Lonchura striata: one gene and its partner. The protein of the gene in region 1 interacts with the protein of each later gene in a pairwise test. Links are inferred from orthologs where the notes say so. Each region holds a gene or a part of one and is shown in the gene's direction. Other genes may lie near its edges.

Region 1 (15,000 bases):
GCAAAACTGCAGCAAAACCATTCTGGAGAAGCGAAGATGCCCAAGGGGATCCTGGTGTGCTCAGTGTCGGTGCAGGGGGCAATCCTGGCTGGGGTGCCCCAAGCATCCCTTCATCCTGAGAACATGAGTACCCCAAATTGGTGGTTTGGGAAGTGTGACCACACTCCCACACCTCTCATTCCCCTCACACCTATTTGCCTTTCTTGGTGAGAAGCACGATGGTCCAGAGGGTCCCCCCCGCCAGCCCCCAGTGCCGGCCACGGCAATTATCCTAAATGAAAGTTATTGTTCTGCTAATCCTGGGAACAGCTTGCGATGGGAGATTTGGGTCTTTCTTTAATAATGCAAAGTTAATGCGGAGTCCCCTTGTAATTATCTTTATCAGAAGGACCCTCGGTTAATCTGACCGTCCAATGAAGGCCTGGATCAGGCGGCCCATGTAAGCCGGTTGTAAATCATTTCCATCAACAGATGAAGGGAAGAGGGAAAAAAATTGCAGCCCAGGTGCAAGAATCTGGGAGCAAAAGGGAGCGTAGAGGCCAGGCACCTCAAAGTGACCCTAGCCCTGGGGACAAGACACCTGGGGTCAGGGAGGTTCCTGCCCAACAGCCCCTGCCTGTTCTTATCCCTGTCTCTAGGGTGCTGAGCCCAGTGGGATGTCCCATCTGGGATGTGGGGCTGAAGGGTCTTGGGCTGGAATGGGGGTGCTGGGGAGTGCACTGCCAGGCAATGGAAGAGAGGATATGGGGACATAGGGACACAGCAGGGGGTTCCTGGGAGGAAACCCGGAGAGGGAGCCCAAGGGGATGTGAGGGGGATTTATGGGGCATGGGGGGGAACAGGTTGACCGGGCCGGGGCGGGACAGGTACTGAGAGGGGGTCCTGGAGAGGGTTTGAGCGAAACCGCAGGGGACCCGGCGGGGGGTGATGAGGACCGAGGGGCGGGGACCGAGGGGGACGGAGGGAGGGACGGCGAGAGGGGGCGCCGGGGGCAGGGCGGTGGCCTGGGAGGGCCGGGGGAGGGGCGCGGGACCCGTGCGGGCGGGAGGGGGGACAGAGGCTGCTAATCCGGGGATTGGGAGCGCCCCCCCGCCGGCCTGGAGTGTGATTGGAGCCGAGACCGGCGGCGGGACGATAAAAAGGGCGGCGGGCGGTGGTGGCCGGGCCAGGCGGCGGCGGCGGCGATGCCGGGCCGGGCGGAGCCGTCGGGGGGACGCGCGGCGGCGGGGCCGGTGGCGGTGCCCGTACCGGTGACACCCGGCGCGGCGGCGCGGCCGGGAGGCGCGGGGCTGCGGGCTAAGGGCTTCGCCATCACCGACCTGCTGGGGCTGGAAGCCGAGCTGCAGCCGCCCCCCGGGCCCCCCCCGGCCGCCACTGCCGGTGGCTACGAGGGCGGCGGGGCGCTGGGGCTGGGGCTGGGGCTGCTGTGCAGCCTGGGGGCCCCGGGCGCCCCGTGCCTGCTGCCCGCCCCGCTGCCGCTCCTGCCCGCCCGCGGCCCCCGCCCGCCTCCCGGGCCACCTCCCGCCGCCCGCCGCCACAAGGAGAACATCTCCGGTGAGCGGGGTCGGGGTCGAGGGTGGCCGCTCAGGCGCGCACGGGGACCCCCGTCCGGAGCCACTGCCGGGGCTGCCTCGCACCTTCGGCCGCGGCCGGCATCCTCCCGGCGGTGCGCGATCGGCTCCCGTGCCGCCCGTCCCGCCGGGATGCCGCTCCTTTGGCCCTCCGGCAAGTGTGGGCTCCCACTCCCTGCCCCGGGATGGCATCACCGGAGCGGCACCGAGGGCTCAGCTGTGGGAGGGGACCCCTCCGTGCCCCGCGCCTGCTCCCCGCGGGCGGCTGGAACCGTGTTTGGGGAGCTGCGCTCGGTTGCCCCGCTCTCGACGGGAACGTGACTCTTCCCCTCCCGCATGCTGCTGCCAGATGAAGACAGCCTGTCCGGGGACGCCAGCGACCTGAAGATGACTACCTCCCAGATCAAGAGGAAGAAACGCCGGCACAGGTAGCGCCCGGGAGCCAGGCTGTCCCCGTTCTCACCTCCTCGCTGCTGCCACCATCCTCTCGCTGTTCCTCCGATCCCCAGGCTGGGGCGGTCAATATCCCCAAGGGGGATAAAGGGAGGAAAAGGAGGAAAGAGGAGGGCTGCAGCTGGGGTAGGGGGAGGATTTTCCGGAGGAAAACCTCAGCGTGGGGGGGGCTGCCAGCCTCGCTGTTTGCCCAAGGGTCCGGACAGTGTGACAGGATGCTCTGTCCTCTCGGCAGGACTGTATTCACAGCTCACCAGCTGGAGGAGCTGGAGAAGGCTTTCAATGAAGCACACTACCCCGACGTCTATGCCCGGGAGATGCTGGCTGTGAAGACGGAACTGCCGGAGGACAGAATACAGGTAGGTGGCTGCAGCGGTCCTCTCTCTTCCGAGGAGTCTGTGGGCCGCCAGCATCTGGCTGTCTCCTCTGCTCTGTGACAGCGGGTGCAGATGGTGGGAATGTGGTGGCACTGAAACACTGCAGGGCGCCTGGGGGGAGGCTCAGCTTCTGCCTGCTAGCATGGAACAGCCTCCAAATGGACATGCAGAACAAGGGGACTGAACTGGCCCCAGCAGTCGCTTATTACTGGCAACTTGGCTCTGTTCTCCCATTCAGGCAGGAGCTGGGAGCAATTTGGAGCTGCTGGGCCAAGCTGTCACACATGAGCTTGCTCACTAGCTTGCCCCTTTGAGGAACACATGGCATTTTAGGGCCTGATCCTGCTCCCCTATGGAACAGCTCAGAGGCTTAAGAATGAGGTGGTGGTCTGGGCAGCAGCCTGCTTATATCTACTCCCTTGAACCTTCAAACAGAGGAGTGGGGTGGGAAGAGGGACCTGAGCACCTTCTGTCATCATTGGTCACTGCATTATGGAGCCCTTTTTCTGGACAGGTTGGTGATTTGTGGATCAGGCAGGGAGGCCCTGTGGGCTGGCGGAGCAGCGTAGGGTGACTTTGGCTGGGATCACCCTCCTGTATCACGATCAGCCTCATGTTAATGTGTGCTCCCTCTCCCCCCCTTCCTCCCCTCTCTGACACCCACGTGTGTGTCCTCCCTCACACCCCTCCCCACACGCCGCCCCGGCTGCCGTCCCGGTGCCACCTGCGTGTCCACACCCTGTGTCTGCACCACCCAACCCCTCCGCTCACCCCACGGCTGACTTTTGGCTCTGGGTGGTCATTCCCCCATTCCCAATGGGCCCTGCACACCCGGTCACGGGGCTGTCTCCTCCCCAACCCCACCCCTCCGTGCTCTCCTGGCTGTTACCCCTGAAGGTTTGGTTTCAGAACCGAAGAGCCAAGTGGCGGAAGCGGGAGAAGTGCTGGGGCCGGAGCAGCGTGATGGCTGAGTACGGCCTCTATGGGGCCATGGTGAGGCATTCCATCCCCCTGCCCGAGTCCATCATCAACTCTGCCAAGAGTGGCCTGGTGGGATCCTGCGCCCCATGGCTGCTGGGTGAGTGGGAACTTGGGGTGCTGCTGGGGGGATCAGGGCTCAGCTTCTTCTTTCATATGGCTGCCCTTGCCTTTTTCCAGAAATGAATGGGGCCTCCCTGGCCCTGAGCTGTATACAGACTGCCAAGTACCCTCGGTTTTCCACTTCCTCCTTGCAAAGTACTGCTAGGAAAAGGAAAACCTTTTACTGCTGTGTCAGACAGGTGCCCGCACCTGGGTGGGTATCACTCTGCAGTGCTAGCAGGCAGCATGGGAGTTGCAAGGCATCTAAGAAGTCACTACCACCCGCCCTTAAACTGAAGATATCTCAGAGCTACCTCAGAGCTACCCTCTGCTCATACAAACTCAAAATCCAGATTGGAATGGGTCATTACAGCACACCTCTCCCTGTAAGCCTTCCCTGCTACAGGGAAGGTACAGACTAATTTTTCCACAAGCCATCTCCCCAGGTGGCAGAGAGCAGGTGGCAGGGCTCTGGGATGGGAAAGGCTAGTAGTTAGAGAGAGCTTTCCTTGGGATGCAGGCAAGAACTGAGGGAAGCAGCAGTAATTCAGGAGGTGATTCTGAGCCGTCCCAAGCAGAAATAAGCAACCTTGGCTTTGCTCTCTCCCCTCTGCAAGGTATGCACAAAAAGTCCATGGAGGTAAGCAGGAAGGCAGAGAGCCAAGAGAAGCTGGCTGATGGCTGGCGAATGGAGCAGGAGGAGGAGGAACTCAAAGGGACACAGGCCAGTTCCCAGAAGGGCTCTGACAAGCTTGGGCCTGCAAAAGACTTGGAGGACACAGCCATCGACCTCTCCAGGACAGCCAAGCATGAGAAGAGGGGTGTGCTGAGGCAGTACATCAACGGGGACACCCCTACAGAGCAGAACGACAGGGACCACTGAGCTTGGGCTGCCCCGGAGGAGGCCAGACCTCACAGCGTCCTGGCGAGACCACAATATTTATTGATATATATTTTTTTCTTAAATAATGGAACTTTTATCTGAATTCAGGGCATTTTAAAACTGGGCACACATATCCCCTCACTTTCAAGCTGTTCACTTTTCATCAGAGCTAGGGTGGAGGGTGGCAGAGGGGCCAAGAGCAGTGCGAGGGTGGGAGCACATTGTGATCAGCACCAATTGCTGCTGGGGAGGAGCCCCCTTCTCCTCCATGCTGGGACCACTTCCCCAGCTATTCAGAAGCACAAAGACAAGCAACACACTGGGAGTTGCTCCCTCCTCCAACACAAGGTGCAAGGATGGTGCAGGAGTTTACAGGAGTTTACAGACGCCTTCTCCAAGCACCTCCACCCCGGCGCACCGCCTGTGTGTGAGTCCTTCCATGCTGAACACACAAATCTTCCACCTCGAGGAGCAGCAGGGTTTTTAAACATGGTATGGTTCATCCTCAAGCTGGTGTAACCTGACAGAGAGGCAGGTTTATACTCCCTGAGGATCTAGCCTGCCAGTGCAGCCTTATCACTGGATTTACACTGTGTATCTTCCTTAACTCGTATTTGGGAGAAGGGGGTAAGGACGTTTTTGTTTATGCAATGATTTTGTACACTCTTGAATGTCACTTGCCACACTATGCATGATAGAACAGACCTTCTTGAAAAGCAAGCCATAGTACCCTGGAGCAATTAAACAATTTTGTGAAGTGACATAAGATCTTTTGTAATTGTCTGTAAAAAGTGTTAATGTCAGAGCTGTTTCTTGGTCACCCTATATTTATGTCTAAAAGCACTTTAGTAATCTGGATTTTTGAATGTGGCTCTTCCTGTATTGTCCACCATTTATTTATTACACATCCATAAATAAAATTGTGTTGTATCTTTGGTTTTCATGCTCTGTATTGCAATTTATACCTTTCTTTGACACATCTCATGGCAGTTGCTGAACCAGCCCATGCACATGCCTTGACAGCTCGCCTGGAATATCTCCAGTTTCATCTACCAACCAAAACATAACGGAAAATTATCAAAGGGTTTTATTAAAATATTAGTAATTCTAGTTTGGAAAGTGTCTTATTGCAGCTCAGGGGGTGTGTGGCCAGGTACTGATGCTGTCACCTGGTCCTGCCTCTGCTGCTTGGCCTGGCTGCTCTCACGGATGCAGTCACAGACTGTGCTGGATAGGGGGAGAGTGTGGGGACAGTTCCTGGGAAGAGCAGAGCAGTAAGTGGCACGTGCAGATTTCCTGCTTTTCCCCTCCTTTGCTTGGCCAGACCCCACCAGGCGGCTTGGGGGAGGGGTAACATATGCATCGCAAATACAAGCTTTGCTGGGGGAAAAAAAAGTTTGCTGGGGGGGCTATGGAGAGCACGGTTCAGGAAAGGACCAGCCAGGGCTTATTGCAGCAGCAATTAGGCTCACTGAGAGCCGAGACTTAGCACATTGGAGGCCTAATCCTGCCTGAGCAGCATCTGCAAACCTTTTATTTGGGCTGTGCCACGCTGGCACTGGATGCTTGCAATCCTTTTTTTTTTCCCCCTTTGCTCTGCCTGCGTGCAGATGGCCTGGCTCTTTGCCTTGTGCTGGCTGCGGTGCTGTGAGAGCAAGCACGTCACCACCACGAGTGCTACAAGGGGAGACACTGTAGTTCCAGCATGCACAGGGTGCAGACCACTCAAGCTCCTGGTAGTGCCTGGTGGGCTCCCAGCTCTCACCACATGCTGGGAAGGAGGAGCCAAGAGGAGGGCTACTGGCCCGAGGCACTTCCCACGTGCTGGGCTGTGGGGTACAGATGCTGGTGGATGGCAGTGACTGCCCAGACTCAGCTCCTGGTGACAGGGTCTGGTGCCCTCCTCGGAGCAGGGAGTCACTGTTTGCTGCCTGAACTAACCCTGGCAGGGAAGTGCCCACTGTCCTCCAATGTCACTGCTGGGAGCAGCAATAGGAGTAGGGCAGAACATTCTTGTTGTTGCTTTAGGTTTGATCCATCCTGAGATCAGTGGCAGCCAGACCCAGCCATGGCTCGGCCAGTGGTGGTTCAGGCTTGGGCCAGTGACAAGAGTGTGACCCTGACATAAGGTAATGCTGCCACTTGCACACATCTCCACTGCTGCCCATGTGAGACCCCACAGCCGTCCTGGTGACCGCATGAGGGCCTGGTGCCATGAGCTTGCCTTTATAAGGAGCCTCAGGCATCCCTCAGCCACAAGTGCTGGGCTTGCTCAAGCAGAAGATCCCTTCCCAGTGGCCCAGGCAAGAAAAGACAGTAAATTCAAAGCCAGTGTTCTGCACATGCAGATCTCTTCACTGACTGGAAGCTGACTGCCAGGCACCCGCGGGGTGCAAGGCAGTGATGGGAGTGTCCCACTCCCTTTGCTTGATTTCCCTTATTTTAAAACAGAGATAAAACGGTAGTCAAATTTTTCTTATGTCCCAGTGATGGGCCCAGAGCAGAGAAGGCTGCAGGGCTGCATTTGCAGAAGCATCTTCATGGTGCCATTTCTGCATAACATAAACAATATTAATATCTGTGCCTCTTTGTTTTGGCCAATCCTCCCAAGCTGTAGGTTGGATTTTCAGACTGGGAGCTCAGAGGCAGCGAGTCCGAACGCTTTGTAAGCACTCCCTCGTGTGGAGCTGCGCGATGGGACACGGCGAACAGCCCAGGAAAGGAAGAGGCTGGCTGGAGCCCAGAGGCGGCTGGAAGCCTCACTCCTTCCCCTCATTCCCACAGACCCCTGCAGGGGCGCGTCTGGACGTCTCCTGTGGATGCAGAATTAAAGAATCCTGCGAGGTTTGTGTTTCATTACCCTCGTCTTGCATCCTCAACAGGCACTGGGTACAACGAGCAGCCTCTGGCAGAGGGCACAGGCGCTGATCAGAGCCTCTGACTTTCTCCAGACTGCTTCAGGTGCGGGCCAACCCTGTCCTGGGTGCATCAGGCACAGCATCGCCTGCTGGATGAGAAAGGGGACTGTCCCCTCTGCTCTGCACTGGGGCAACCTCACCTCGAGTGCTGGGGGCAGTTTTGGGCACTGCAATGTAAAACAGACATTAAAATGATTAGAGAGTTTCCAAAGGAGGGCTACAAAGATGGTGAAGGGTCTGGAGGGGAAGCCATGTGAGGAGCAGCTGAGGCAACTTGGGTCTGTTCAGCCTGGGCAAGAGAGGCCCCATAGCGGTCTGCAGCTTCCTCACGATTAAATCAGTGGGGGAGACACTGATCTGATCTTTTGTCTGTGGTGACCAGTGACAGGACCCCAGAGAATGGTTCTAAAGCTGTATCAAGGGAGCTTTAGGTTGGATATTAGGAAAACTTTCTTCACTCAAGAGGGTGGTGGGGCACTGGAACAGGCTCCCCGGGGAAGCGGCCACAGCACCAAGCCCGACAGAGTTCAACGAGTGTTTGACAATACTCTGGGGCTGTCCTGTGCAGGGACTGAAGTTGGGCTTTGATGATTCTATGTGTCCCTTCCAACTTAGACTATGCTATGATTTCGTAGGTTAATTCAGCACTAACACCAATACAAGTCCGTTCTTTTAAACCAGGTGCAGGTGTTCAGCCCGCAAAATCGCAGGCTGCCACTGGCGAGGGCTCCGGTTCTGCTCCGAGTGCCCTTTCCCTGCGATTCCACACTGTGCGGCCGTGAGGCTCGCGTGGGGCACGGAACAGCAAAAGCACCGCCCGCATTTTGGCCACATTTCCCCTCTGTCCCACTTTCCGCAGGCTCTGGCTGCAGACTGCTGGAGCCGGGGAGGACGGGGCCGGCATCGCCGGGTGTCGCTGCGGCCGGCACGGCCCGGAACGAGCGCCGGAGCGCAATCTCCGCAGCACGGTCCGGGGCCGCTCTGCGCCGCCGCTCTGCGGCCTCGGCGGGGCGGGGCGGCCGCCGCGCTCCGCCCCGGGCCGCCCCCGCTGCCTGTGCGGGCGGCGCGATGGCGGTGGCCGTGCTGCGGCCGCTGGACGCGCCGCCGGCCGAGCTGTCGCCGGCCACGGCGCTGCTGCTGGCGCCGGCGGGGCTGTGCGCGGCGCTGCGCGGGCGGGGCGGCGCGCTGGTGCTGGCGGTGCGGCCGGCGGGGCGCGGCGGGGCGCAGCCGGTGCTGCTGAGCGCGGTGGCGCTGGAGGCGGGCGGGCGGCGCGGCGCGGAGCTGTGGCTGCGCGGGGCGCTGCTGCGGCGGCTGGGGCTGGCGGCCGGCCGGAGGGTGACCGTGTGGCCCGTGCGGCGCCCGCCGGCGCTCGCCTGGGTGCTGCTGGGGGCGGCGGGGCGGGCGGGGAGGCTGGCGGGAGGCGCGGTGCTGGCGCGGCGGGGCGAGGCGCTGCCGGGGCCGGGCCCCGGGCCGGGCCCGCTGGTGCTGGAGGCGCGCCCGGCGCTCCAGGGGTTGCTGGGCACCGGGACGCGCACCGCCCTCGCGCCGCCGCCCGCCCCGCCGGGCTCCGCCCGCGGCCGCCCGCCGCCCGCCGCCGCGCCGCCCCTCGTCTCCCGCTTCGCCGCCGCCGCCGCCGGGCCGCGGCTGCGGGCGGTGCCCGGCGGGGCGGGCGGCGGCGGGGCGGAGGTGTGGGTGAGCCGGCGCGGGCTGCTGGCGCTGGGGCTGTTCCAGGGCGAGTGGGTGCGGGTGGGCGCGGAGGGGGCGGCCCGCGAGCACCTGGCGGCGCTGCTGGCGCGGCCGCCGCCCTGGGAGTACCCGCGGGCCGCCCGGCGCGGCCTGGCCGACGGCACCGCGCTGCTGGCCCCGGCCCTGGCCTTCAACCTGGGCTGCGACCCCGCCGCCCCCGCGCAGCTCCGCCTGCAGGTGAGCCGGGGCCGGGCAGCCCGGGGAGCGGGCCCGCGGCGGCCGCGGCTCACGGTGCGCCCCGGCCCCTCCGCAGAGGTACGAAAGGACCGGCGCCGCGGATGGGAAGGGCAGCCGGTCCGTGCTGTCTGTGCCCCCGTTCGCCAAGGAGCTGCAGCTGGAGATCGTCTGCTCGCCGGCCTACAGCACCCGGGGAAGCTACGACTGCGTGCTCTACAGGCACTTCGAGACGCCGCGGTGAGCTCTGCGGGGCGGACTGTGACATGCACAGTGTGCGTGTGCCACACACCGGGGATGTGCACGTCGACGCCCCTGGGGCAGGTGCTGTGTAGTTTTAGAATATCCCCTCGCATTGTCTTATGACGAGTATGCTCAGCTTGGACACAACACTTCTTGTCCTGTCCTTCAGAAGTCATCTTCAAGTTTCCTGCCTCATAATTCACCATGCAGTGGTGAGGGCTTGCAAGTGCAGCCCACAAACCTCCCCTGTGGGCCGTGTTTATGATCTCAGTTTTCAGCTGAGTAGTCTGGAAACTGGATGTGTTGTCACCTTCTCTTTTGATGCCTGCGCTGAGTATCTTTCATATGGCTTCTAAGGTTATCTGTTGGAATGATCCCCAGCTATTCCAGAGATAAGGTGGAGATTTTGTCTGAATGAGACACTATAAAGACACTAATTTTCTTTGCCATTCCCACAAGCCTTCCCCTAGCAGTCTGGGTATGCCTGCTTCCATCCAGTGTGTGCTAAATCTTTCAGTGGCTATTGAAAGTTTTATTTACAGACAAGGAATGAGTCAGTATGAATAGTTAAATTATTTTCTGTAAAAACACTTGCGACGGAGGGCAGGGAGGGCACACAACCAGAAGGATTTACTCTCTTTCACTGGTGAAACTCTCTGGGTTTTTTGTAGGCTGGTCCAGGAGGGAGACATCCTGTGTGTTCCAACATTTGGAAATGCTGAGTTTATAGAACTAAATGCAGACAAGTTCCTAAGGTAGGTCAACGAACTGTGACTCTATTACTTGGTACCAGAAGAGCAGAGATACTTTTCCACGATTGACTCTCTTGAAATCAGACAGTTTATTCCATTCTGACATGTCCCTGGATTTTAGTGTTTTATCTGTCAATATACTGGGAAGAAGGATATGTTTTTGTTGGATTGTGGAGGGCTGAAGCTAAGAGGGAGGCCTCTGTTAGCTCATTCGAATAGTCAGGAAGGGAAGAAAGGAAAACAAGAGGTAGAGCCACTGATAGGAATAAAGAGTGAAGAGGAAGGAGTGGCCTGAGGGCAGTCAGAGCCACATAAAGAAAGCAGAGTGGGAGCTGGGCTCCTCAGTTTGTGACAAACAACAAAATATAAGCCCTAGGAGCTCATGTTAGAAAACCTTTCTGTTTGGCCACCAGTTCTGCCTTTCTTGGTTTTGCTCATGTGGCTTTAGAACAGTTGTGCTAAATGGGAGAATGTCCCCTTTGTATCAGGATGCTCCCAGTGGCATTCCCAACATTCACATTGGATGATCCTTGTGCATATTGCAAGAGGACAAGAGTTTCTCTGCTTACCTGTGCTTATCAGCTATCTTCTTGTTGACATTTGTATTGTTCCTTCCTTCAAGATCTTGGCTAAGCAGTTTAGAGTGCTTGTTTTTTTCCCCTTAGGTGGCCAGAGCTTTATTTCAAGGTGAAGAAGGTCATAGGCATGGTGGAAGACGAGCAGTCCGAGGGTTACCTGGTGGACACCCAGAATACGTCTGTCTATCTGGTGAGATGTTAGTAGAGAGCAGAGAGAGGAAATCTGAGGCTGAGCTTGCACTGTGGATGACAAATGTACCTGTGGAGGCTTGTGCCTCCTGCCATTGGAAAATGACATTTCAGGACAGATTTTGCCACTTGGCACCTGTCTTTACTTGGGTGCTTTTGCATTCTTGCAGGTGGGTTCAACAAATAGCACTGTGCCATCTGCCCCAGCCTATAACAGCAATGAGTTCTGGAGCAGTTTGTCTCCTGCGGGACTTTCTGATGTCGTGAAACAGCTCTGCGATGCTCTTCGGCCTCACCTGAACCGTCGGTGAGTGAGAATTCCATGGAGTGAGCCCTGGCAGACGGGGGGGACCATGGCCACAGGGAAACCTGACAGGGGTCTGTTACAGGGCCAGTGCACTGAGCGGCGTGGGCAGCGTTCTCCTCTCGGGGCCGAGCGGCAGCGGGAAGCTGCTGGCTGTCAGAGCTGTGTGTAGCTGCCTCAACCTCCACCTCTTCAAGGTAATTCTTCCTGTGGCCGGTGGATTGGTGGATTTACAGAGAATTATGGAAATGTTTTTTTAAGTCGGCCCTGCCAAAAGCCCTGCTGCAGCCATGACACGAATCTATCCAGGAGCTGCTTCCATGTGCAGATGCAGACAAGTGAGGCGCAAATGATGCTGAGATCTTCTTTAGCTGAGAGGGAAAAGAAAAGCAGCTCTTGGTTTCACGTACCAGACCCGGCTCAAAATCTTTTGGCATGTAAAACAGCTGCTGTGTAACTGTGTTCACATTCACCACATCCCCCTGCCAAGAACAGTGAAGTGGCAGGTGAAATTCACTGGAGTTGGTTTTATGTGGAATATGATATAGTTCCAGCTGACTGACAGTATTAAGGATTTCGTTTTATGGCAATGGCCCCATGGAAACTTGTGCTCTGCTCTTCATATGTGTAAAAAATCAGATCACATTTTATGAACAAACTCAGGAGTGGATGCTGTTGCTGTGCAAATCCATGTCTTGACAGAGATTGAACATCATGCACAGTTCTGGTCTCCCCATCACAAAAACATAAAACTGAACTGGAAACATTTGGAGAAGGACACTGGGTAAGATCAGGGGTCTAGGCCAGTTTCTTTGTGGGGAGAAGCTGAATAAATTCTTCAGCTTGAAAAATAAAGAATTTAGAGATAGTTTGATACAAGTTTTTACGAGATCTTTTTGAAAGAGATTTTTCACAAGAGCTTGAGAGGTCAGCAGAGCATGGAAGGTGTTTCCTTTTCTCTGTGTCAGCACAAGGCCTATGACTGTCAGATGAAGCCAGTCGTAGCAAGCAAGCTAAAGGAGATGTTTCTCTGTGTAGGTCAGAGTATTTGGATGAGAAATCTACTGTTACAAAACCACTTCTGACTGGGAAAAGCCATTTTGATGGGAATGGTATGTGCCTGGATGGCCAAAATGAGGTCTAGCACCTGCCTCTGTCCAACACAAAAGGTTCTGGAACCAACAGTCTTCAGTGATTTGTTAAAATTTCTATTTTCCTGCAGCATACCTTTTTTGTTCACTCTGACAATCTGGGATTATCTCCCAAATGCTTTCATTTCTTTGAATCTGTAGAGATACATTTGCAAAAATGAGAGGAAGTCACGTAGTGACTTTTCTAGGAGGCTTTTTGAAATTCTGGAAGGATGTGGAAGAAGAAGAAAAACGGAAAGAATAGGGCTGGAAGATTCCTCTTTTTGTGGAGGGAAATTGTGGGCTTGCTCCTTCTTTTGGTGGATATTTTTAGAGTATACTCTCTTTCTGTTATTTTCTCTCCAAGTAAAGCTGTAACACTGCAGTGGAGCAGCTAGATAGTGCCTTGGCCCGCTGCTGTGCAGCTCATCTGGACATGATCCTTTGTGGTGCAGAGCTCTGACTTTTCGGAAGATGTGCCAGTGCTCTTGGGATCCAATGCAGGATTGCAGGGATTTCACAGGACCTTCAGATCCATGTTTAGGATGTGCTTGGGAGCACTCTGTCACTGCCATGTCCTGTCAGGTGGCCTCAGGTTCTAGTGGGGTGTGTGTGCAAGGCTACAGCTCTGGTTTCAGGGTTGTGTGCTGCTTTTAAAGACTAACACAGTTACTGTTAAAGACAGAAACATTTTCTGAGCATCTTACTCTCCTACGCCAGCTTTTACAATCTCCCCTCCCTTTCTCACTGATTGCAGTGCTTACACTGCCATTCCCCTGCTCTTCCCTTTCTCTGACTGTTGTGTCTAACAGCCCACCAAGACACAGTAATTCTTCCTCACTCTAATGTCCACCACTTGATGATAAACAATTTTTTGTCCTTTCTCTCTGCCTTTCAGTTCTTGCATACAGACACTGCTGCCATTAGGCCTGTCACAGCCCTAACTCCTGGGTTTTTTCTATAGTACATGGAGCACAGGAGTTCCTCTGCTCTGTGTCCCTCTCCTTACCCTTTAGGGAGTTGTTGACCCTGCTTCAGGCTGCCTTTTGTGAAGATGAAACTCAGGGAATCCTGGAGATGGTTTGGGTCTCCCTGGACAACCTCGCAGCACCAGGAGGCAGCACTGCCTGTTCCCAGGCTGCTGTTCAAGGCTCACCAGTCACCTCTTCCCTTGGATGACTTCATCAAGTGTTTGCTTTGTAAACAGTGTCTGGGCCTCTGGCCATCTATAACTTCCCCCCAAACACCCGTCACCCTTGCCTTCCTCCTGCATACTGGTTGAGCAGTTTCCTGGGCCTCCTTCTCTACTAATTGCACTATTCTGCAAGGTGCTTTGTTCTCCCTGTCTTCCACAGCTCTCACCTCCCTTCTGCCTTAGGTTGCTGAGCTGTGATATCCACTGTATCGATTTCTGTGGTCCCTTTGCCTCACTTTTTTCAGATAAGACCCTCCTGTCTACCTCACCTCTTGTAGAGAAGGAAGAAACAGCCATTTGTCCATGCTAAGGCATCCAGAATGTGCCTATTTTGAATATGACCTGAATGTGTCTCTGGAAAATACCGAGTTTGATCTCCTCTGAGCCCTGAATTGTCTGTGGAAAGCTTTGTGGAATGTTGTCCTAGGCCCCCCAGCCGTGCATGTTGCAATTGCCTTGTGTGGTGTGTCTGGCAGGTCGATTGCGTCAGTTTGTGCAGTGACACCAGTGCAGCCACAGAGGAGAAAGTACAGGTGGCCTTCAACCAGGCCCAGCAGTACCAGCCCTGTGTGCTGCTGCTGAAAGACATCGAGGTGCTTGGCAGAGACCGAGATGGGCTCGGGGAGGACGCCAGGGTCATTGCTACTCTGAGGCAACTGCTCCTGGACACAGACCCAGCACTGAGGTATGGACCTTGCACGTTTGCTATGGGCATCCCAGGTAATTGCTTCTGCCGAGGGAGAGTGAGTTGGCATATGTGATGATAATGTAAGAGGATATTTCCACAGAGCTGAGACCATGCACTGTCTCGTTTCTCCCCACAGCTACCCTGTCCTGGTGATTGGCACAACCTGCAAGCCCCAGAATGTTCCCACAGATGTGCAGACTGCTTTCCTTCATGAGGTGAAGATTGAAGCCCCTTCAGAGGAGCAGAGGAGGTTGATGCTGAGCATGCTGACTGCCAGCCTGCCTCTGGGCAAAGAAGTGAGCCTGTCCAAGCTGGCCCGCAGGACTGCTGTGAGTAAAACCACAGCAGCATGTGGGGATGGGCCGGCTGGGAGTGCTGGGCCAATCTCCTCTAGCTGGCCTTGGAGAAAGGGGTAATGCCCACAGCCCAGACAACTTCTTCAGTGGTTAAAGACATCAGCTTTTTAGTGCAGATTTCTAGTGCCTACAGACTCCACCTTTTGCAGAGGTGTTGGCTGATGTTCAGCTCTGCTACAAAAGAAATAAATGAAGCTAGAGCCTTTAAGCAAGGAGCAGCTCTGCAAGGAATTTTCCCCCATACTTTTAATGGCCTAGGTGTAGCTGTGGTGAAGGACTGAACTGATGCTCTTTGTTTCCACATTCACAGGGATTTGTGCTGGGAGACTTCTGTGCCTTGTTGTCCCACAGCAGCCGGGCTGC
Region 2 (14,606 bases), on another chromosome or scaffold:
AGCATCCTGCACACTTTGGTAGCTTTGTGCCCGAAGTGTCCTGACTGAAGGCTTTCTCTGAGGGATGTAAACTAAGGGCAGATTTGGAACAAACTGCCACAAAAGGCTGATGAACTGCTGCCTGAGTGACCCTCACAGAATGTAAGCAGCAGCCTTGTGGACAAGACTGGACAGAAGGTCGAAAGAGACTAGGAGGTGTTTGATATTTTTTTCCCCCACTGAATCAAGATGGAAACAGTGTATGGGTCTTGCTTCTCTTTGTGACTCTGGGAGAGCAGAGGGATTGGTTTCAGTGGCTCATTTCCCCAGGCTCCTGCTGTTTCATGGAGATCAATGTATCATTTAATAGGGAGAGGCTTTTCAGCTCTCTGAGATTTTATCCGCTGATGGCTTTCATGATATTTATAGACATATCCATCAGCATAACAGCAGGAAGCAATTCTCCAGGGGTCAAATTGGGTGGATTTCCCTCATGTAAAGTGCAGTATGGATGCAGCTTTCTGTATAGGATTAACCACTTTGAATCCCGAACATCATCAGCTATTGTTCACAAAAACTGATGATCTCCAGGGCTTAGTTGTGGGATGGTCCACTTGTTTTCAGCCTCAATTATCTTTTCAAATAATAAGGTTCTTTGTTAACCTCTGACTTGCTGAGCACTGTGTAGGCAGCCTGTTAAGTACTTCACAGTCCTCTTTTAACCCTATGATTCAGGCAGCTCTAGAGATTTAGTCCCATGATTGTCCTATTTCTGACCAGTCTGAATCTTTGACTGCCACATGAACAGCAACACCAGAGAACCTGCTTTGATCGTGGCAAGCTTAGGAGAATAAACCACAGTGGCTTGGAAGATCGAGGCAGAAACTACATGTTTATTATATAAAGTGTTTTAATGCTTTCAGCCTAACTTTTGGTAATGATTTACAGGGCATACTTCCCTGCTAAGACTATTTAAAGTCAGCTCCTTTGGGGATTTAGGATGCAGTGAATCTATCCCCTAAAATTATTCTACTAACTTTCTAGTATTGAATTTCTCCTGGTGAGTACACCTTTTGGAATGAGACAGCCTTGCAAGGGGAGCTCAGAATAGACATATTGTTCCAGCAGCTCAAAGTGCATTGGGAATGTGAACTGCTGTGAACTGCCACTTGATTTGACACAGAAAGACTGATGTAGAGTCCTGACATGGACAAGTGTTCCTGAATACAAATTTGAGTTATTTAAGGTTTTGTTTCCAATCATCAGAGCTATCATCAGTCACATCTGTCCATCCACTCTCCCTTTCAAATTCACCATGACCTCCTCATGGCCTTATTTTGCTTAACCTTGCTGTGTTTACAGTGACCTCTATCCTCATTACTTGGTTGTATTCGGAGTGCCAGGCTGACACACCAGCATGCAGCTCTCTCACTCACAAAGACACTCCATGAGAAATGTAAGGGCAGCTGCTCTCTATCCCTGAGAGCAAAAATTAAGTTCCCAATCCCTGGTAGAATCCACCTCATTTTCCATCCTCGAAGGTCTGGTCAGAGTTCATACATGAGTCCTATTTCCATTACTTTGGTCTTGAGGGATTTTATTTTGCTGGTGTACACAGCTGCAGTGTACTCTTGATCCTTTGCTTTACCTTCATCCATTTCTTTTTATTCAGATATATTGTAACACTGTCTAAATACAACTGAAATTACAAATCAAATAAGCCTTTTATCAGGTAGGAAAGACAATAACATTATCCTCTCTGTTCCCCTGGCTACATCTGCTGAAGGATGGTGGCAGTGGGAGATAGGAGAGCTACAGCCTAAATTTCACTTTGATAAGCTAAAAATATTGTAAATACAACTTGTTCCATCTAGGGTGTAGTTCCAAAATATATTAATTATAGTTTAGTAGCTTTTCTGCCACGTTTCAAGGCAGTTCTTTCAGGCTGTCTACACTGAGTCATTTTTTGGAAATAAATTTTTTGGATCTAACATTAAATGAGAAATTATTTTGGATTTGGTAATACAGACTGGGTTTTCAACTTCCTCCTTGAACAGGCATCTGGAACAAAAATGCGTCTAGAAAATTTTGGCTTGCCTTTTGAGTCTGCCTGGGCTTAGGCTGCTCCCAAAGCTGAAAACCTCACTGAGAGACAAGGGCTGGATTACTCACAGGCTACCCTTCCCCCAGTGTGAAGAAGTAACCAGGTATGTTCAAGGCTACATAAACTAATTAGACATCTAATCCTACCTTTGTCTGCACCTGGCATTGCCAAGAAAGACGAGAAGGAGCAGCAAGTAGGGGAGGTACAGAGGGCAAGAGAACATCAGTTCATCAGGGAAACAGGGCCAATACACTGCTTGAGACATTAATCCTACACACAGTATAAGCACACCTCTCAAACAGGTGAGACCCTGAAATAGCACACAGATCTTCCAGAGGACAGGAGAAATCCTCCCAGAAGAAAGGTGCTGCACATTCATTGACTAGGTTAAATAAAAACCTCACATGCTGTTCATAAAAAAGCAATTACCAGTTAATTACTGTATCAAGTTCACAAGCACAAACAGCAAGCAGGGCAGTTCTGCCCACCACAGCCAGAGGGGCACACAGGGGGTGCTCTCTGTGAAACACAAGACACAAAGGTTGCACCAGCATCAGCCCCTTCCCTGGGGATTTCTCCTGAGGCTCAGGTACTGCTACCATGCAATGCAGCATTGCTAGCTTTCCTAAAGCAACCTCACATCACAGCTTTTGGAAGCACCAAGAGACCTGGCCAGGCAAGAGCCAGGACCAGCAGACTGAGATGGTAAAGAGTTTGTTAGCTTCTGTAGTATATTCTGAAATTTCCAATTCAAGATGCAGGAGATGCATTGCCTGCTTGTAGAGATAATTAACGTAGATCACAGTAAATGTGCATTCAGAATGAGAGTCAGATGACTGACAGACACTGAAAAGAAATACTGACGTGTCAGGAAGTTAGGTTAAAAACAAGAAGGACCTTTTTCTCAAATTGCCTTGTTTGCCTTGTGGTACAAATAGTTCCAGGTGATTCGCACTGTCAAGCCTCTCTCCCCATCATGAGAGCACAAGGCTCGCTTTTGAAAAAAGAGGAAAGGTGGAGACTAATGGATGAGAGTTGATTTTGGCAAGCTGGGCCTTGAGAAGTGGTATTAACTGTTAGAGGGGCTGTGACTCTAAAGCGATGAGCAAAGAGACGCTGTGCTAGGCAAACAGGGTGTAAGTGACCCACACTGATGACAGGCTTCAGTATTTTCTCACAGATAATAACTAGCTGAAGAAAAGAAGATGCCTTAGGCCTCTAGCCAAATTGGTCACCTTACAGCTATGAAATGCCCCACCTAGCACTAATTATGACTATTATAATAGTAACAATTAAATCAAAGTAACTGCTCCTAATCTTTGACAGCTGCCTTGCCAAGGCGAGTATTTTGTTTGATTATGAAGCAAAGAAAGGAACTTAACTTAAAATTGCCCTTTGTTTCAGAAAGGTTCTGTTATTATCTGAGTAAAACTCAAGTTTTGACAAGTTGTGAACACATCCCTATGTTCCCAGTTTCCTAATTTCCAGTGTTTACACCTCACACAGTGTTTGTTCATCTGTGATGAAGGCTGAGACAGAGATTGGCTCTTCTGTTTTATGTGATACCCCCCAACTGGACTGTGGCTGTGGCTGCCCTGTAGTTGTCTTTTCTGCCTTGTACTACCCTCACCTGTTGTTTACATAGGTTTGGATATAGCCAAAATCAGACATGAGTGCATTTAAATGCACTGACTAGGAAAATCAGCAGGTGGGCCCAAACTCAGGCAAGTCTCCACTAAACAGTTCTATTTTTGAAACAAAAGCCAGGTTTGATGCTGTGCCACAATGCTTGGTGAGATAAGAAAGCACCATGGGCCATCTGTTCAAAGCACAGCCAGAGAGCGTTCACCTTCCCCCAGCCCCGGGCTCTGCAGACCTGCAGAGGGAAGCCCTGAATCTGGGCTAATTGAGGGGATCTGCAGCCAGCCAGCTTCATATTTAATAGGGATTTACTGCTGATGGAAATTACAAGCGAATTACAGATTCCAACACGTCATGGTCTTGCCAGAGTCAAACAAAAGCACGTGGTGATAAGAACAGGGTGCTGCACACTGGGACCTGAGGTGTCTGTGGACCTCATTGCTTTGTTAAAGTATTGCTGATAAGCTGTGAGGTACTACAGAGCTCCACATCTTTCCTAGAGACTATGGTTTCCTCAGTTGTGTTTATAATGCCATTTGCAATTTCCAATTCTTCTGCTTGTTTTTATAGGAGTGTAGGAGGGTTTCTTTCTCTTCAAATCAAATCATAGGGCCTCACCATTTCTAGCTCAAAGTCTCCCTAATGCTGCTAATCTCCTATTAACAGCCTACTGACACAGAAGAGACAACAGAAAAAGACTGATTGCCAGCCCTCTGGCCCTGTGACCGTGTGCTGGTCAGATCTGGATTTATAGTTGAGGCGATTTACCTCAGGAGGCCTTGTCACAGGTGCCTGTAACTCTAAACTCTCCTCGAACTGCCTGGCAGGAGAGGGAGGAGGGGAACCAGTAAATCCACAGATGATGCACACACAAACAAGGCCCTGCTGAAAATAATTTTTCTTCTCCTATACAAAATCAGGATCACTGTGGGAAAAAAAAACTCCTTGACTTCATAAAAAAGGCAACGAGCTGGGCATGGACATTACACCCAGGACACAAAACCCACTGTGGTACTCACTCAAACTAACTTGTCACTGACAGCAAGTTCGTTTAGCTTTTCTGGTCGCTAGAAATTGCTATCCAAGAGCACAGGCAAACATCCTGCTTCCCTCCTGTGCTTGTGTAGTAGGATAGATTGCCCTGTTGTGTATCTGTATTCAAGTACAAGAGCGACCCTTTCAGCTTTAAGACAATTTAAGCTGCTCCCATTCAAGGAAAGATGGAAAATCAGCGTGGTTCTTATTTGGCAACAAGTATCCATGTGACAATTGGGTTCAGCAGCCCAAGCAGTCTCGGGCTCTCCTCCGGGGCTGGTCTGCGCCTCCTACATTTGCCGTGCCCGCTGTGCTGCTCCATGACCCTACATAGCAGGAGGAGGGTGCTGGGATGCCTGGTGCAGCTGACCAGCTGCACTTGACGTCAGCCAGCAGCAGATTGTCCACACAGAGCATCTGAGCTGCACCAGGAGTCTGCCTGATGCCAGCCAGAGAAACAGAGGCAGGAGCTGCTGCTGCTTGGGTCCAGGTCAGCCACCCGGGCTTCACGTGTGCCCAACAGTGGAGCTCCAGCATGTCTCATCTCCACGAAGATGATTATATTTCAGAATGATTTCATTTTGCTCGTTAACAAATTGTCAGTAAAATAGGTAATTGTTCCTGGCCTGAAGTTAAACAATCCGGTTACCGAGTGTTATTTGCAGGTCAGAGAGCTGCAAGAGGTTTGGCCTTTAAGGCACCACACTGTCCCCTCTAGGAAGAGGGGTGAAGTACAAAAACATTCTACCGTGCCTTGCAGAGAAATTCATTTAACCTATAATCATTGGTATTACAGGGCTGCTTGTCCACTTTGGCTTCTCACACAATCACACACTGCAGCTCATGCAGAGCTGCCGTTCAGAGCAACTCCTACCTCTCCCTGACCCTTCCCAGCCCCTAACATAACTGCATCAATGTTGCAGCTCACTGCCTTTCCATAGGTATTTATTAATCAGGTGCATCTGCAGGGAAACAGGATCTGACTCGGCAGCACAGCTGCTCCTGCTGCTCGCTCCCCCACCCGAAACAACAGCCCCGTTCCAAAAGCTGCCTCCGTGACCGCAACACCTGCTGCAAACATCACCAGAGCGATGCTGGGCTGCCCTTCTAAGGGATACAACACTACTGGCTGCTCCCCATGAAAGAAATCCTTCAACAGCATCTTTGCATAAAACAAACGTACCTTGGTTTTGTGCTGTCTCACTCCTTTTCTGAGTCTCAGTGAGGAGCATCCAGCCAGTGTGAGTCTTTTTCAAACTTGATTCCTTATCCATATTTGGGAATTTGTGCTGGGCACTAGCTGGTACGAGGCACGTTCTTCCCACAGTGCACTTTGGGACTTGTAGTTCCCAAAAAGGAATGTTGTTTTCCAAATTGCAAGCACCGAGCAACAGAAACAGAAGGCTGAAACGCCTTTACCTCTGCTTTTGCTTGCTGCTCGGCTCTTCCTTTCACATTTGTCTGTGCAGTGGTTTCACCTTAGCCAGCCCAAATCCTTCAGGAACCTCTTCCACAGTTAAGAGCAGTGTGCCAACCCCTTGGATTCACTACTGTGTAAAGCTGCTACTGCAGAGTGCTCCTGCTGCAGCCGAGAGGGGCAGGTACATGGTCCTGCCTCCTGCAAAAAGCTATCTAGAAAAAGAGAGCTCTGATCAAGTTTTTAATCGTATTCGCCACACTGAAATGGCATAGAAAATCCCCTTTGAAAGATGCGTGTTTTGCATGTTTTGTATGTAACCCATTTGATTTTTAATTAAATAATCATAGTAGGGGGACAGATAGATGTGTCAGCTGTTTAAAAAGGTTACAGGATAAATCAATCCTGTCTCTCCTGTAGGGATCCATTTTTGAAGAGCGTTTGCACTGACTGCGGTAATTACCTTGTAACCAAGACACCCTGTTGTTTTTAAATAACAACAAAAGGAGAGAGTGGGAATCGCTGCCTGCCGGGTGCTGCCGGGGACGTTATTACGGCCGAACTCCATTAACAGAGTAAACTGCGGGCACGAGGTGCGTGAGGAGAGGCGGCCGGGAGCGGAGAGCATCCTTCAGCCGCCCGGGCGGCGCGGAGCGGAGGGCCGGGAGCGCTCTCCCGTTAGACCGTGCCGAGCGCCTTCTGCCGGGCCGAGGAGAGCTGGGACTCCCTCGGGGCTGCGACACCCTCGGGGCTGGGGCACTCTGGGGCTGGGGAACTCTGGGGCTGGGGAACTCTGGGGGCTGCGACACTCTCGGGGCTGCGACACTCTCGGGGGCTTGGACATTCTTGGGGCTGGGGCACCCTCGGGGCTGGGGCACCCTCGGGGCTGGGACACTCTGGGGGCTGCGACACTCTCGGGGCTGCGACACCCTCGGGGCTGGGACACTATTGGGGCTGGGACACCCTCGGAGCTGGGACACTATTGGGGCTGCGATACCCTCAGGGCTTGGACATTCTTGGGGCTGGGACACCCTCGGGGCTGGGACACTATTGGGGCTGGGACACTCTCGGAGCTGGGACACTATTGGGGCTGCGACACCCTCAGGGCTTGGACATTCTTGGGGCTTCGACACTCTCGGGGCTGAAATACCCTCGGGGCTTGGACATTCTTGGGGCTGCGACACTCTCGGGGCTGGGACACTCTTGGGGCTTGGACATTCTTGGGGCTGCGACACTCTCGGGGCTGAAACACCCTCGGGGCTTGGCCATTCTTGGGGCTGCGACACTCTCGGGGCTGAAATACCCTCGGGGCTTGGACATTCTTGGGGCTGCGACACTCTCGGGGCTGAAATACCCTCGGGGCTTGGACATTCTTGGGGCTGCGACACTCTCGGGGCTGAAACACCCTCGGAGCTTGGACATTCTTGGGGCTGCGACACTCTCGGGGCTGAAACACCCTCGGAGCTTGGACATTCTTGGGGCTGCGACACTCTCGGGGCTGAAACACCCTCGGGGCTTGGACATTCTTGGGGCTGCGACACTCTCGGGGCTGAAACACCCTCGGAGCTTGGACATTCTTGGGGCTGCGATACTCCTGGGGCTGGGACACTCTTGGGCTGGGACACTCCTGGGGCTGGGACACCCTCGGGGCTGGGACATTCTTGGGGCTGCAATACTCTGGGGGCTGCGACACTCCTGGGGCTGGGACACTCCTGGGGCTGGGACACCCTCGGGGCTGGGACACTCTCGGGGCTGGGCTGACGCCCGGCGGCCGCGGGGAGAACAGCCGAGGCGGGCTGTGCCCTCGGCCCCTTTCCCTCGGCAGCCACACGAGGGAGAAGATGAAGGGAGCGCGTTTTGGCAAGGACGGGCACCGATGTCGGTCCCAGAGCCACTCCCGGAGCGCCCGCAGAGAGCCCGCTTTCCACCGCTAATCTCCGGAGAGTCACAGCAGGGCTCAGGCTGGAAGAGATCACCGTGGGTCATCCCGTCCCACCTCCCTGCTCAGTCAGGGTCATCGCAGAGCACACGGCACGGCAATGCATCCAGGCGATTTTGCAGTATCTCCATAAAGGAAGACTCCACACCTTCTCTGGGCAATCTATTTCAGTGCATGGTCACCGCACAGTAAAGAAGTTCTTCTTCCCCCTGTCCAGGCGGAACTTCCTGCGCATTAATTTCTGCCCGTTGCCTCTTGTCCTATTGCTTGGTACCACTGGGCAGAGCCTGCCTTTATCCTCTTAGCACCTCCCTTTGGGTAATTATGCACATTAAAGAGGTCCCCTCTCGGTCGTCTCTTCCCAGGGCTGAACAGACCCAGCTCCCTCAGCCTTTCCTGGTAGGAGATGCTCCAGCCCCCGAGCCATGCCCGTTGCCCCGCCCGGCCCGGCAGCCGCCGACCTCCTGCGGCAGTGACTACAGGTCCCGGCGGCCCGCGGGCCGGGGATGCTCCCGGGGCGGCCCTTCCGCTGCCGGGCGGCTCCATCCCGGCTTCCCGGTGCCTGCCCGAGCGGAGCGGAGCCGGGCCGCGGCGGGGGCCGGCGGCCGAGGCGGGGGCGTGCGGGGCCGGGCGGAGCCCCGCGGCCGGCGCCATGCGGGGCGAGCCGCCCGCCTGGGCCCCGGGGCCGGCGGCCGCGCTGCTGGAGGAGGCGGCGGACCTGCTGGTGCTGCACCGCGACTTCGCCGCCGCCCTGCAGCGCTGCGAGGCGGGCTGCGACAGCCTGGGGCCCGTTCCCGGCCCCGTTCCCGGCCAGGAGAGGTGCGGGCCCGGCGGCTCCGTCGGGTGGCTCTGGGAAGCTGCTCGGTGCCGCTTCAGCGCCGGGCTGGCTTCCACCTTCAGGCCGCGCCCGCACTGCTTTGGGGTTTCTTTTAGCCCTGTCGATATGAATGTGTTTCGTCTGTGCGTTTTTTGAGGGAAGTGCGGCGTGCCCAGGAGCCTTCCCTTCGTTTTCTCAGAGTCACAGTGCATATCCTCGGAGGTCGAATTGGCCTTTTTGTAGGGGGCAAGTAGAGGGGGAAGAGGGGAAACAGAGAAGTGTGGTACCTGGGCTGCACTGAAGCCCACTTCAAGGGATGCAAGGGGAAATATGGTTGTAAGAAGCGCTTATTTAGCGTGTCTGTTCCTTACCAGTTTTGCAGAAGTGAAATGCTCCCTTTGTGTTGTGGGGATTCAGGCGCTGGCCGAGATGAACCGGTGGAGAGAAGTTCTGTCTTGGGTCCTACAGTACTACCATGTCCCTGAACATCTGCCTCCAAAAGTTCTGGAGTTGTGGTGAGTTTCTGTCTGTTGCTGTCGGATATTCACACGGGGCTCATGTTAAGTTTAATTGCAGGCCAGGCTTGGGTACTATGTGATATTTTTGTTATAAACAAAAATTGTCCAGCCAAATTAAAATGAAAAGTAAAATATTTATTTTGCAATCAAATTCTATCTAGCCAGCCACAAGGAAAGAACAGTGCTGAGCCCAGGGTCAGCCCTGGGTGTGCAACAAGAAGTCGGCCTCAGCAGAGATTTTCCTCTATGCCCACACATTTCCATCCTGGCACAAGCAGCTTTTATAGGGAAAATTCCACCTGAGGCCAAGATTTCGGCAGTCAGTCTTTTCTTCTATTCAGAGTCTATAGGTTAATAAGATTTTCTTATTTGGTGATGAAGAAGAACAATTCAGTGTCCGGGAGTTGTTGAATCCCTTGATGAAGTTTCTGGGAACACTGCATTCACATGTATCTGCCCGAGGATTTCCATGATATCCATCTCAGGTCACGAGATGAGCAGCGCCTGGGGTCCCCATATCTCTCCAGACATGGCCCATCTCCTGGTCGAGCCATGTCCTTGTCCTTTTACATGTAAATCGGGTTCTAATATACACCAGGTCTCACCTGTGAGGGTGGGGGGAACTCCTAATACAAACGTGTATACTCCAACAAATATTCAATATCACATATATCATACTAGAAATGGCACAAATTGTATCTACTACACATAATATTTTCACTTTGTGTGGTGTGAATGAGATCTGGGACAGGCCTTTTCTCTGTGTGCTGGAGCGTGCCTGCAAGATTGCTTCATGGTGACCAAGTCTAAAAGGAGTGATGCTGAGAGAGTAACATCAATAGCCACACCTGTTTTCTGCCTCAGAATTCTCTCTGTGCTTTGATCTTGACCCTGACTGATACCTCATGAGAGCTGCTCATGGATAGTAGCTGTCAGTGATGTCAGCTTCCAGAAAGACTCAGGGTTTTCTCATGCTTCTCCCTTGCATCTCAGTCTCCTGCTCTACAGCAAAGTGGGAGAGCCGCAGGTGATGCTGGAGGTCGGCAGCAGCTGGCTGAGAGCCCACGGCAACCAGAGGCTCCCCGAGTTCGGGTCGCTGCTGGAGCTGTACCTGGCGCAGGTGCTGCTGCCCCTGGGGCGCTTCGAGGGCGCGGAGGAGCTGGTGCGGGGCTGTGCCGTGTTCGACAGCGAGCAGCAGCTGGAATTCCTTGGCACCATCGGCGAGAGCCGCTGCCGCTGGACTCAGCAGGAAGAGACACGCTCGGCTGCTGAGGAGCAGCAAGACCCAGCCACAGAAACTCTTCTAGGTGGGCTTTCCCTCTGTTGTTTGTGCTCCTTTTTTACAGTTTCATTTCAAGTCAGCCCCTTACTGGCAAAGGGTAGCAAGTATTAGCTTCATATTAAGAATACTGCCATGATAAACGGGCCATGAGGAAATTAATTGTGTATCACAGCAGGAAATAAAAGACTTAATGACACCTTTGCTGAGAATTGCAAAGCATATGTAGTCTCTGCTAACATCAGAAGATGACAACTAATGCCCAGGATTGAAAGCACTGTGGAGGTTTTGCGGGTTTTTTTTTAAGTAAAAAAGGCTACCTGGCAATACTTTAAGGATATGTTCTGTTGGCTCCATGTACAGTTTGCTTCATTTCCATTTACAGTTGAGTCCAAGGAGAACAATGCCTGTCTAACATTTAAAGTACTGCTTCTTCTCCAGAGCTGTAAATCATTTGCTGTTTTCTCCCAGGACAGAAGCTGGCACTACTGTGGTATAAGATCAAATTGTAGTAGAGTAGATGCCTAAAAAAGAAGTATAATGAAGTGTATTACAAAATTGTACTCTTTCTCTGTTGTATAAAAAACCAAACCAAACCAAGCCCAACCCAACTCTCATGCAATCAGACTTCCAGTATCGTAGTTTCTTATTGGCTATATCTGTATGATTACTTTTTAAACTTTACTTTGCCCTAACAGCCCTTCTGTTCTTGTTTTCCAGGGGTGCTGTCCCAAAAGCTCCTGACCATGTTGACATTACTACGTAGAGCACTGAGGTCCATGTCAAACCACTTCTATTTACTTCCTTACAAGAAGATGCTCTTGGCTACTTTTTTGCTGTACCTGGTGGTGGTGAGATTAGACCCAGGTACAGGATTAAGTTTTCCAATTTTTAGAATTCCATTATGGTTATGGAGAAGAAGTGAGTTGCTTTTAATAAATCTGGTCTGTGTAAATGTCTCAGGGAGACAAAAAATCTGAGTGACTAGGAACTTAATGTGTTTAATGTTTCCAGCTGAAGTGATGTAGAAAGGTGAAGCTCCACAAATGCCAGTTTTCTGCAAACTTTCCAGCAGCCAAGGTACAGACTGTGAGAGGCAGGCAGAGCTGTCCTAGACTCAGCCTTTCCTCATTGAAGGAAGGAAGAGAACTAGGTTTTTATTAATTCTAGTTGGGGGTAGTTCTTTCTTAATATGTTTAGTGTATACTAGTTTTACCTAGTTAATTTTGCTAAGTTGGTTTTACCTTTTTGTTCTGCTTTGCAGCTTCTCCCACATCACTGCCATTCATTTACAAACTGGTCCAGCTCTTCCGACAGGCTTGGGCAGCTGTGCTTCCTCCAATCCATAGGCCTCCAATTCGAGACTAAGTGTCTTCCTCCACTAAAAGTGTCACCTTGGCTTGGGCATGTTACCAGGCTCTTCAGGGGCTCTTCAAATCTGAGATGTGGACTCCTGGAATTTCTTCAGACAGGGAATGGTGGTATATGAATTTCGAAGCCACAGCAAGTGTTCCTGACATTTTGCTTGGTCCTGTCCAACACTAGGGTACAGCCACTCTGTCCATACCTACAACTGAATAAGAATTCTCCTTTTCAAACACTTTGCTTTGGATGTGTGTCTCTTGAGTGAGGGTTGTGTAGCCAGTTATGAACTCTGGAAGAAGTTCTTATCCTTGCAAACGCTGAGCAAGTGTTCTCTGAACAAGTGCAATTCCTGGAGGACCAGTGATTAGGGGAATATTCTGTTTTCCCTGAAGACATCTGGAAAGCCCAGTTCCTGCAGCATGGGATTTAGGACAAGCACATTAAAGAAAAACACTGGAGAAATTAAAGCCTATTGCATTTTGAAAGCCATGTTTTTTCTCTTGTGACTGATGCCTCTTTGAACAGGCACACTGGATTTTAGTCATATTTAAGCCAGAAAGATGAGGAGTTGGGCCAAAAAGACTGTTGTGTTGTATCTACTCTTCTTAAATGCAAATTACAGCACTCAGTGCTTGTCTGATGCATAGTCATTCCTAGAAGCACTTGGTGGTGGTGGTAAGGAAATAAGTTTATTTTTTTAAATTCTATTCTATGTTATTGTATAATTGAACAGCTGAAGTTGTGGCTTTGTTTTGCTCTTTCCCTACCTCTTGCTTTGTTTATGTAGATGTCAAAAAGTCTCTCTGTATATCTAGAATTGCTCCCCAAGCCTCAGTATCCGAAGTTCTGGGTTAGATGGGAGTCATTTAGCAATGCTCTGTCATTCAGAACAAAAATTTATTTTTTATAGAAAGAGATACTTCTCTGACATCACACGACCTTCCCGAGATCATTGGTAAGAAAATTGTGCACCTGCAGGTCTGTCAGCAGACAGCTTCATTTCTGACCACTTGGGGCAGAAATTGGAGGTTTGGGGTGGAACATTAATTTCTCCTCCATCCATTCATCCATCTATCATCAGCTGACAAAAGGTAAATTCCAAGGAGGGAGCACTGATCTAAAAAAATACTGCTTTTAAACTGTTGTGTGCTGGAGGGGACAAGTTAAAGGCGAGAAACCTGGGACAAATTGACCTCTGTCATCCCAGCACCTGTGCCAAAATGGTGCAAACTCACGGATATCAGCCCAAACTACAAAATGTTGTCAGAGCAGCCTTTTTGGTGGGATCTGTTGCTTTGCTCCCTACTGGGGCACTTAGCAAACAGTCTCATCTTCACTACTAAAAACAGTTGTCCGTTTCATCTTAAATTATCCCAAAAAGAGCTACACCCAAGCATTATTGTCAGACAAACTCAGGTTATTTGTGAGTGTAATAATGACCTTCCCTAGTTGTCTCAAGAGATTTTAAAACCCAAACCAATCCCATATGCATGCCTCCCCAAAGTTTTTGTCTGCCAGGACTTTACACCAGGTTAAGTAGCACATATTTCCATATAAAAAAGTAATTTCTCATATACTCTGCACACACAGGGAAGAGCAGCCTTTGATACTGCTTTGGTATTGATATTTCAGTTTATTACTGAAACCAACACTTGATGTGAAATCAGATAGAATGAAACACAGAAGCTCTGTCTGGAGATGAGCTCTTCCAAGAAATGACCAGGATCAGTCCTCTGCCCCCCTGCTTTGCAAGGCCTCTGGTTAAATCCTTTGTAAGCCAGTTAATGAAATGGCAAACTTCACTCTTGAAGTCAGGCCAAATTCTCATCAAAGTGACTGTTAGGTAATGAACAATTTTAGCTGTAATCTTCTGGCATCATTTTTAGTTGGATGGCAGAGATGCTGTTTTGGAGGTTGGTTTGGACCAATGGTTTCAGCAGGCCATACATTTTAGGATGCTGTTAAGTGTCCTTTACTAGGACTTTTAACATTCAACTTTAAGTGTAGGTTGGTAACCTTGACTTTATTGGAGTACTACTGATTTAGAATTTATATTGTTTTTAATTCATCATGAGAAAGCAAGAAGGCAGAAATAAGCTATCAGGGTTTTTTTGCAATTAATACTGAAACTGCAGTATCTAATTTTTATAATAAAGTGACTACTGATTTACCTCTGTAGAGTTGCTTGTTTGTGCTGTGATTTGAGTATATGAAAAAAAGAAGTATTTGTTGTATTGATACACTAAAAAGTATATCATAGTTTTCAAGAATTGTTTCACATTGTTTCATAGTTTCAGCCTATTTGAATTAAGTCGAGAATGTCTTCAGTGTGAATCTGATGAGATTTAATCCACTGATGATGTTGGTAAAGTGTAAGTCTGCATTTTGGCATGGGCAAGACCAATACTACCAAGAATAAAGTATCTGGTATTCATCATTATTAGATAAATGTATCTTTATATTATTTACAACTACATTATATATTATATATAATACTATATATTATTTATAA

Evidence for each region.
Region 2: the proteins of PEX6 (region 1) and PEX26 come close enough for resonance energy transfer, tested with the Homo sapiens proteins (2 studies listed by BioGRID). The link is inferred for Lonchura striata from reciprocal best matches to the Homo sapiens genes PEX6 and PEX26.

The regions. Positions count from the first base shown.
Region 1 is NC_134605.1:18,916,057-18,931,056, forward strand, and holds the start of PEX6 (peroxisome biogenesis factor 6), read left to right. Parts: upstream 1-8,350; coding exon 8,351-9,205; intron 9,206-9,281; coding exon 9,282-9,442; intron 9,443-10,116; coding exon 10,117-10,200; intron 10,201-10,862; coding exon 10,863-10,965; intron 10,966-11,134; coding exon 11,135-11,271; intron 11,272-11,353; coding exon 11,354-11,465; intron 11,466-14,069; coding exon 14,070-14,278; intron 14,279-14,417; coding exon 14,418-14,610; intron 14,611-14,947; coding exon 14,948-15,000. Other genes in the region: VSX1 (visual system homeobox 1), read left to right, coding at 1,185-1,554, 1,921-1,999, 2,260-2,383, 3,299-3,479, 4,099-4,364. UniProt on the Homo sapiens protein: Component of the PEX1-PEX6 AAA ATPase complex, a protein dislocase complex that mediates the ATP-dependent extraction of the PEX5 receptor from peroxisomal membranes, an essential step for PEX5 recycling.
Region 2 is NC_134607.1:13,649,623-13,664,228, forward strand, and holds the start of PEX26 (peroxisome assembly protein 26), read left to right. Parts: upstream 1-8,767; coding exon 8,768-8,934; intron 8,935-9,306; coding exon 9,307-9,447; intron 9,448-10,443; coding exon 10,444-10,757; intron 10,758-11,449; coding exon 11,450-11,596; intron 11,597-11,993; coding exon 11,994-12,097; 3' UTR 12,098-14,606. UniProt on the Homo sapiens protein: Peroxisomal docking factor that anchors PEX1 and PEX6 to peroxisome membranes. PEX26 is therefore required for the formation of the PEX1-PEX6 AAA ATPase complex, a complex that mediates the extraction of the PEX5 receptor from peroxisomal membrane.